Linked DNA regions of Caenorhabditis elegans. The protein of the gene in region 2 interacts with the protein of the main gene of each other region in a biochemical or structural test. Each region holds a gene or a part of one and is shown on either strand. Other genes may lie near its edges. The genes, in order: unc-13 and unc-10.

Region 1 (4,865 bases), on a different chromosome or scaffold from region 2:
ATCCTTTTACAGATTTTCTTCTTCAAATATAAAAATTTCAGAACTAATTTTCGATATTTAAAACATGCTGGAAACTATCTAATTTCCTAGAAAACATCTTGATAATTAAAAATATCTTTTTCTGGAACACAACCCTTGAAAATGGGTTCTTCGTATGATTTTAAAACCTCATCGGAACACAGAATTTGATATGAATTCCCATAGCAAGTCTGTTTTGAAGCATTGAGTGGCATCTAGGTCTAGAAATTGGAATGGAGAGCACTAGAGCGTGAGAACCGTCCACATACACAAACACATATAAACGTCCTCCTATTGTCCATTTCTGAAACCCAATTGGTGAAAAAGTAAGAGAGAGAGAGGGACACCAAAAGAGAAATTGTGGTGAAGGGAAGAGTGGTGGTAGTGGGTGCAACTATCTCTGGGTTCTCCGAGAATTCAGTGCTCCGTGCTCCTCTAGCTTGGCTCCGCGACGTCTTCTGCTACTCCGTCCTCAATTTTTGCGAAGGGGGGAGTGGCGAATAGGGGGTAGAGAGCGGGAGCAGAAGAAGAAGAAAGCACAAGCTCATCCAGTCGCCGTCTCCACACTCTCCGTTATACTTATTCCGGTTCTCTGCGTCTATTAGTTTGAATCACTATCTCACTGGTTTCTTTAGTATATACTCCAAAAAATGCTACTTTTTCGCGCATTTTGCGTTCGTTTCTTTTTTTGGACTTTCTTAATCAACTTTTTTTGTGGTTTGATCAAGATTTTTTCGTTTAGGTTTGGAATTTTAGACAAAAATTATATTAAAGAGTTTACAGCTTTTTTGTCCATAAGAAGTTCATGTTGAAGTTTTGTTTTTTTATTGTAAAAATAATGTAGCACCAGTCAGGATTTTGTCAAAATCAAAAATAAAAGTGCTTAAATGAGACCCTAAAAAATTGTTTCAGATTTTTCAAATGTTCAGTCAAAATGATGTTATACTGCCAAAATTTAATTTTGCAAACTCTTTAATTTTTTTGACTGGTAACAAAAATTTCGTTTTTTTAATTTCGTTTTTTTTTTTTTTTTTTTGAAAAAATTTTCACTATGTTCCACTTTTGAATGTTAAAATCACTGAGTTACTAACACATTCTTGAAATTTTCTCATTTAAAGAATAAAAACAACTTTGACAAGAGAAAGAAGTAAAACAATATAGTTTTTCTAAACTTGTATTTACTTTTTAACCCAGTTTTTCGTATTTCATAGTAAAAAAAGTATAGAAAAAAGTGATGCATTTTTCATTATAATGCAGAAGGCACCTCGAGGCTATACGCATTTTCTTAGCAAAAAAAGGAGCTCATTTTTTCTGTATTTTATGACTTTTCATCATGTCATGCATATAATTTTTTATTCATTGTTATGTAGGAATTGAGAGTTTTGTTTTTAATTTAATTTTTATATAAAATTAAGGGGCTTTGAACACGTTCTATCTATAACTTTCTTTGAACAAAAACTACAAAACACAAATTTCAAAGATCTCTGGATCTGTCTGATTAGGCTGTTAGTTCTTTTGAACTTACTTACTTCTGCTTAATCCAATTATTTGTACCACTCATCACTGACCTTCAGTTTAACTTTTGTCTATAGGTTAAACTTGATCTCAAGCTTTAACTCTGCACCAGGAACTTGAACCTAAACCTGATCTCTAATTGATTCGCTAAAACCTTAAAATTCTGAAAATCCTGATCCAAAAACTCTCCAGGAGACCAAGTTGTTCTCGGCATTGGAACAACTGGTCGGCGGCGCGTACCCATCTGGGGAGGCCGCTTCCTCTTCAACCATCGCCCAAGAATATGCCACGTTTCAACAATCAGAAGGGATGGATGACGTTGGAGATTACAATGATGATCAACTTTCAGATGGCATGAGCATGAGGTTGCTCTGCATTACCAGTGAGTTGTTATTTGTGTTCTTCTTGCCGTCTCGAGAATACATATATACGAGACCATCGACACTCAGTTATGGACGAGATGTTAACATTGATTGTTTCAGTTAAAAAAGCACGACTTCAAGGAGCTGTCGGTGAGTATTTCTATTGATTTTATAACTTAAAATATATAGTTCAGTTTTCATTTAAAATAATTTATTTCGTTTGAAAAATACTGGAAATTCCCTGAAACTTGAAGTAGATAATGTAACAAATATTCTGAGAGTTCTGCCAATTTTTTGAAAAAAATCTGAAAATGTAACAGTGTGCCAGTACTGTTACAATTAGTCTCGATGACCATAGAACCAAAAGATGCTCCTGCTCCAAATACTTTTAAAAAATCATAGTCAGAGCTAACTGAAAATCAAGTGGCTCTTCCACTTTATGAATCATCACTTTATCTCAACAAAAAACTATTAACTTGCCAGATGTCTGAAATGTGGATCTGACTTTTTTTAAATGAAATGTCCACCTCCTTTGGGTGAAAGACTAAAAAATCTGAATAAATCCCTTTCTGCAAATCGAGAAACGATCATGCGTGGCGTTGCTCCGATTTGTAGTTGTCGCCTGAGAAATTCATCATTCGTGACACCTGTCATTCCAGTTTCACGGGGCGACCTCCCGAATAATAAATCTCATCGTGAAACGCGCGTTTTCATGCTTCGATGACACACGAAATAATGCACAACTTATACCTCAACATCACGTACAAGATGTGCTTAGTATTCTGAATGTATGTGTATGCACCCGCCTCTTCTATTTTCCCATCCCTTTTTTTTGGCAAATTTTAATCAAATTTTGGGACCTTTTTAGAGTAAGATAAGAGAAAAGAGTCGTTGAAGAGGCAGGAAAAGTTTAACTACATTCGTGAGCAAGTGAGTAAGTAAAAAGTAAGAAACCGGAAAAAAGTTGCCAGGAAATTAAACATAGAAGCACCGGGGGCACCTCTAAACAAGAGAGTAAGTCACTGGGGAAAACGTTTGAAATGGAATGACGAATGAATGAGGGCACCGGAGACGAAACAAGATACGGTGGACTGGAAGCTTAAAGACCAAGAAAAATGAAATGAAACTTAAACTTTGTTATTTATCATGTACGTTAAGCTCAAGAAAAAATTATGGAATTAAAATTTTAAAAAATTATTAAAAATTAAGCGAAACATATATTTCCAATGCTTTTGAAATAATTTTTGATATTTCATTTAATTTTGAGAATATAGAACAAATGTTTTCGTTTTTTTAAGTATTAGTAGTAAAGAATGTGTCTGAAGTTACACATATAGTTCGAAAAACCCCACATTCTAAACGTAAGTTGACAAAATCCCGCTAAAAGTACCCCATCTTTAAAGCATATAGTAAGAGCATATAGTAATAGTAAGAATACAACCAGCTTGTTCAAAAAATTTAACAAATCGTTCAATGTTTAGTAGCTTTTTACATTTACTATAAATCTCATGAGAAAGAACTTTAAAGATTCTTGATCTTTCACTCAAGTTTGAGCCAGAAATTGAGTTATAATTCACGTTGTTCTCTTTTTTTTTTTCTTTTCAACTAAAAAAAATATAGCTTCTTTTTTTATTGTTCCCCTGGGTACAAAAGTTTAACTGAGCGTCCCAGTAATTTTCATGAGAGCATATTTATAGTTAACGTGTTACATTCTAACTCTTGTTTTAGGACCCAATTGTTTTCAACTGTCCCATTTTTAGGATTAGCCAATAAGTTGTCCAGCAGTAAAAAAATTTTGAAGTTGCGATTTTATTTAGGATTGGAGAGATTTTGCAGATTTATAATCTTCTCTAGATTTTTTCAAATTTCTTTTTGGAAATGAAATCTCAACAACTTTTCACCTTCGTTTTACCAAAGTCTTATCAAGTTTTGATTTTTAAAATTTTGATTATCAAAACTTGGATTGAGTTGAAATTTTCTATAAATTTTAAAGAGGTTTTGTACAAGCATTAACGTTTCGCGCCCTCCCTATCATTAGAGCATGTTTTTTTTCAGTTTTTAAATTTTTGAAAAACAATTTAAATGCCTGATCTCAGATGAATTCAACTCGTACGTGACGGTGAAGCTGCAGACTGTAAAATCAACAACTGTGGCTGTGCGTGGCAACTTACCATGCTGGGAGCAGGAATTCATTTTGTAAGTTGTCATTGACAGGTGAAATACGGTAAAGGAGACCGATTTTTGTAAATGTTATAAAAAAAGAACAGCTGAAAATAGTAATATTTGATATTATGGAAGGAAAAATACCATTATGCGTAAATTGGTGTTATTTTGCCTCCTTTTTTTAGTTTTGGAACGTTTTACTTGTTTTTTTTTCATTACACTTACAATTATTTTATTAAAATAACAACAATTATATTTGAAAACCAATTAATCAAACATTAAGGTTTCAGCTAAACCACATCACCTCATATTTAATTAATTATTTCAGTGAAACAAATCGACCTGACGACGGAATGGTACTCGAATTATGGGCCAAAGGCGTTTTATGGGACAAATTAATAGGTGTTCATTATATGCCACTTTCGGAGATTAGATACAGGTAAAATTTTTTTTTAATTTCCAGTCGTCAGTTAAAATCACTCTAAAACCAATACTAAAATGGCAACATACTTTAATACAATTTTACGAAAAAATATGAACGTTTCTTATTTACAATGGAAAAGTGCAATTATTCAGTTTTCGCCACCTATAATTGTCGTAATTGAGCGGAAGTGGTTTCTAACTTTTAAAATTAATGTATCAGTTTTCTAAAAATACCCCATTGATTTTCAGCAATGCAGCAGGTTCGGGTCAATGGCTTCAAATGGATCATGAACTTGAAACAAGAAATGGTCAAACTGTAGGAACACGTGGTCCAACAGGTCATAACTTGTTGACTGATGTTCGATTTGAGCTTCCTTTTGGTGA
Region 2 (4,817 bases):
TATTTTTTCCATTAGCCAAATTACACTTGCTCACCTATGCAATCGATTTTTCACCCGGTTCAAATGGTCGTCAGTAGAAGGACATGCTCGCACGCCTTGCGTGTTGGACTGACTCTGTGAAGAGTTGTTCCGCTCTGAAATTGATTCTCAAAATAGAATTTAGCAAGGTATTATCGATATGATATCATCTTACGTTTCTTAGATTCGAAGTTTGACGAACTTGCATAATCCTCCTCTGTTACCCGGCTGACTGTGTTTTTTCTAAGATTTCGGTTGTTTTGGTTCTGATTCTGATTATTTTGTTGTGAGCCCTGTTGCATTTGGCCATCAAATTGTCTTTGGTCATTCTCGGAATTTCCAGTGTAGAACGTGGGTCTGAAAGCAAGTGGGTATCAAGTTTTTAAACTTTATGGGATACTTACCGCTGGTTCATGCCATCATCCTCAACGTGATTGTATTTGTTCATGGGCGTAGTTTGCTAAATTAGAAACAATTTCGTTTTTTTTTTCATTTTAATATATTTTTCTACTCTGAACTTTGTACGACAGTACTGTAATTCTGACCAAATTTTCCGCTCTAGATGATTCTTCACATTTGTTCATTACTTTTACAGAAGTATCACCCTAATAATAAGCTGCTCAATCTTTTTTCAAAAGCTCGTTTTTGATATCCCTGATCCCTTCACCTCTAATGACGGCTGCCTATTGAACATTCCTCCTTGCCCGTTAGTATTCTCTCTCATTCTGTTGTTATCCGTCCGTTGTTCATTCATTTCTGAAATTATCCAGACTATATCAATTTGCGTCTCGTTCGCAATTTTAGCGCACAACACTTTTTTGTTTTGTTTTTCACTTTCTCTTTTTATACCCCTGGAGGCTCTTACGTTGATGATGCTGCTCTTGTTGTCCATGTTGATTATGGTGTTGATGTGCCGCGCCTACGTTGTTTTGATACTGACTGGGCTGCTGTTGAGGCGTTTGTTTCATAGTTCGAGAGTCATTTGTCCTTTGTTGGTTTTGGGGGCCAGTCTGAATTATTTACATGTAGAATTTGAAATAATCGTGGAACTTTCCAACTTCAAGTACCTGGTTTCTCTGGTTTTGAGTCATATTCTGATTGTGGCTCTGTTGTTGATTTTGGTTTTGATTCATCTGATTTATCTGATTTGCCTGATTTTGACTCATTGGCTGTTGTTGCATAGCTCTTCGATTATTCTGTTGATGATTGTTGGCTCCTTGATGATTATTTTGAACATGATTTTGATTTTGATGCGGGTTCTGCATTTGATTCTGATTGTGGTTTTGATTTGGATGTTGATTTGAATTTTGGTTCTGATTCATGAAATTCTGCTGAGTTTGATTATGATTTGGCTGCATTCCCATTCCACGGGGTTGTTGGTTGTTTTGATAATTTGGAGTGTTCCTGAAAATATGAAAATTAGTCTGAATTGTGATTGATTGAAACTAACGCTTCAAAGGAACATGTAACAATCAAACACAAACTTGGAAAAGTAAAAGAAACCGGAAGAAACTCACATTTTATCAGGCGGCTCTGCTCGCCTCTGCTGCGGTTCTGGTACGTTGTCGTCAGTTAGTGGTTGGGGCGAAGGGCTTGGCTCGGAGCCGCTAATTTTCGGCTGCGGCTGCTCTTCGGGTTGGAACCATTTGCCTGTTTTGGCAAGAATTTGTTGACGTTTCTGGCACAACGAACAAGCCCAGATTGCCTGAAAGCTTTTTACTTCTTCTCTTCAATTCACTTCTCTACTTTTTTATCGGTCGGTGCACCCACGGGGCTAATACTTTCTATTTATCTCTTTATTCCAAACTACTTTGCAAACAATGGATGCTATTGTTTTTCAGCTTCTGTCGTATTTTTTTAGATGTAAAAACGATTATTTCGCTTGATTTCCAAATTAGATTCATTAACTATAAAATTAAACATGATTTTATAATAAATTGTAAAGTTTAGATTTTTTTTGTGAAAATATAAACATTGCAACATCATATCGCAAAAATGTTCAAGTCGATTTTGCTCAAATTGGTTTTTATTCTGTTATTCAAATGCAGTCATCCAGAATTTGTCCTTTCTCTTTCATGTTTCCCCTTATTTCATCCCACACTTTCACTCCCGCTCGTACCTTATTTTTGCTCTGTGCTCTACCTCCACATCTGGCGCAGCTACGCAATTGACAATAAAAGCACTTGTGGCCTGAAAAACCTCTCATCTTGTGCTAAATTGATGTCCTTTTAGAGAGACGATGACAGCCAAGGGTTAGGGGCTCTCTGACGCCGCGGAGAGAATTACTAGGAACAGAAAACGAGGCTCATCTCAGGGCGACAGAAGGACCCTTTGCTCTCATCGCTTCTTCAGGAAAAGGAACAACGTACCAATTCCGTCCGCAAATTTGGTCTTCTGACAGATTTGACAGATCGCGTCATCTTGTGTGCCAACCAGCTTTTTCGATGTTTCTTTCCGCTCCGTGATCTGTTTGTCTAACTCTGACAATTCTTCAGATGCTTTTCTGGAAAATCATTCGCATGAAGAAATACCAATGCAATTATGTGTCTACAAAACTCTTACTGTGATATTTGTGTTTCTTTTGCCTCCTCATCTTTTTGTCGTTTGAAGACCTGCAAAAAACATAAATCATGAGCGTTCTGAGTGAGTATTCTCTATATGTATGTGCACGCATGATATCATGCCAATTTTCTTGTCGAATGTACATAAGAGCACACACTCGTTTGATTGCATATCCATTATTTTGCGTGTGCTCACGGCGTTGTAAGTAATACCCCTCCCCTTTTCTCGCTCTTTCACCCCTCGGGGGGCCCGTCATGCTCCGAGACAGAGGACTCACACCGCACCAACTACTTTTTTGAACCCCACAAGAAGCAGACGGATGGGCAAAATGAACGATGGGGGGGGGGGGGGGGGGGGAGGGGGTTCGTGCTGGAACAACTCACATTTTCTATTATTTCACGTTCTTCTGCAGATAAATGGGATAAATCCGGCATCATCGACGGATCGTCCATGATTATATTTAATGAGGCACTGAAGTTTGATTTTTAAGGTAATAAGGAGTTATTGCATCATGTGAAATCATAGCGTATAAAAAGACTAAAGCGCGATAACAATCCGAATAGAAAGAATAGAAACGAATTTGTTCGGTTTAAGAGTTGTATGTCAATAAAGGCCAACAAGAAAACAGGATCAACGCTGAAACAAAAAAAGAACAGCGTCAAAGATGGGGAAACCGAGAGAGGAAAAATAAGAGCGTCCGGGATTAGAAACGTTGAAAAATGACGCCTTTTCCAAGACATGAGCGCCCAGTAAGACTGGATGTGGTCATTTTCGACGACGACGTCGATGAATACCGTGGGAAACTCGGGACATCCAAAAATAGTCTTCCTCTTCTTTTCTTTACTGCTATCAAGAACTTTTTGCAAAAAAGAGAAAGAGAGCACTAAAACGGGAAAGGAATAAGAAATAAGCGTAGGAGGTGGGGAAGTGGGAAGCGAAGGAAAACGGGAAAAGAAAAGGAATAGAAGGGTGATGGATATTGGGTTCGCCAGGTTTCGCCATAAAAAAAGGCCAACCATGGACAGGTAAAGGTTCAAGCTGATGTTTGAATTGACAAAAAATGGACAGCTTGTGCAAAGTGGACAAAAGCATGTAAGAATAAAAAGCAAAATTCGATGCAAGATTAATGATGCACAAAAGGAGACATTCATTTGAGACAATGAATTCATGCTCGTTTCCCTGAGCACGGAAAAAAGACAAGGTTTGAAGATAGGGGTGGGGGGAGCCTCCCGTATCCGTAAGGAAAGAGAAAGAGGGCGAAAGGAAAAACGGAGGTGAAACGGGAGGAAAAGAAAAAAGACAAGGCGCGCCCAGGAGGAAAACCCGGGCGAATGCGATATAAGCAATGAATAAAACAAGGCCACGGATAGCGAATAGTTCATGTTTTACTCAGAGCTCTTCTAATAAATAAATGGATGTGTGTAGATGGGAGGGAGGGGTTTAGGACTCGGGGGCTAGCGGCGTGTGGCGACTGATGCGCAAACGCAGGGTGGAGAAAACGACGAAGGGATGGAGCAACGCCCGCAAAACACAAAAATGCTCCAAAGGCTCTACCCTTCTTTTCTCCCCCAACCAGTCTTCTCTCCCTTTCCATCCCGAGATGGCTCTATGTGGCGTTTGTGCCAAACGTTGACAATTAGCAACTCAGCGGGCAGCTTATCCAATATGCTCAAGATTGCCAAGTTTTGTTCTTTCTTCGTTGGAGGGCCTCCACACATACACACACATACACACGCAGGCCTCAGCCTCAAATTGGATTATCTGTTCATGAATGCATAGCAAAGAGAAGTATAAAACGACAGAAAAAGAAGACGAAGGAGGTGAGGACAGGGGACAGACAAACAGGGAACAGGACGAGGGATCACCTTTCCAAAAAGTTCACGCCCCTTCAATGCCCTTTCAGATACGTTCAGAATTCCTACTAGGACTATGAAGTAACTAATTATTAAAACTCACAGCAAAAGCAAAACATTTTTGTTCAACAATCGAACAAACTTTTCAAAAAAAGAGAATATTAAACATTCGCAACACTTATATATCCATATCCATATATATATATATATATACTATTTTCCTATTCCATCGGCTGGATTTCTAAATGTGTTATATGAAAAGAGTTTTCACGATTTGAAGATTAGATTAACTATGAGAAGATATATAAAAGGCGGACAAAATCCGTTATGAATCAATTCATATAGCTGACAAGAAACAGAATTAACAAACTTCTAGATGGGTAA

What was found.
Region 1: the proteins of unc-10 (region 2) and unc-13 form a complex in vitro, tested with the Caenorhabditis elegans proteins (one study listed by BioGRID).

What each region holds. Positions count from the first base shown.
Region 1 is NC_003279.8:7,420,943-7,425,807, forward strand, and holds the start of unc-13 (Phorbol ester/diacylglycerol-binding protein unc-13), read left to right. Parts: upstream 1-1,842; coding exon 1,843-1,915; intron 1,916-2,015; coding exon 2,016-2,045; intron 2,046-3,991; coding exon 3,992-4,091; intron 4,092-4,386; coding exon 4,387-4,497; intron 4,498-4,730; coding exon 4,731-4,861; intron 4,862-4,865.
Region 2 is NC_003284.9:7,277,270-7,282,086, forward strand, and holds the start of unc-10 (Rab-3-interacting molecule unc-10), read right to left. Parts: upstream 3,054-4,817; 5' UTR 3,033-3,053; coding exon 2,964-3,032; intron 2,815-2,963; exon of another isoform or gene 2,676-2,814; intron 2,631-2,675; coding exon 2,581-2,630; intron 2,522-2,580; coding exon 2,388-2,521; intron 2,334-2,387; exon of another isoform or gene 2,249-2,333; intron 2,209-2,248; coding exon 2,138-2,208; intron 1,724-2,137; coding exon 1,536-1,723; intron 1,423-1,535; coding exon 1,086-1,422; intron 1,029-1,085; coding exon 884-1,028; intron 775-883; coding exon 686-774; intron 479-685; coding exon 423-478; intron 376-422; coding exon 194-375; intron 135-193; coding exon 35-134; intron 1-34. UniProt on the Caenorhabditis elegans protein: Regulates the efficiency of a post-docking step of the release pathway. Acts after vesicle docking likely via regulating priming. May regulate the conformational changes in syntaxin.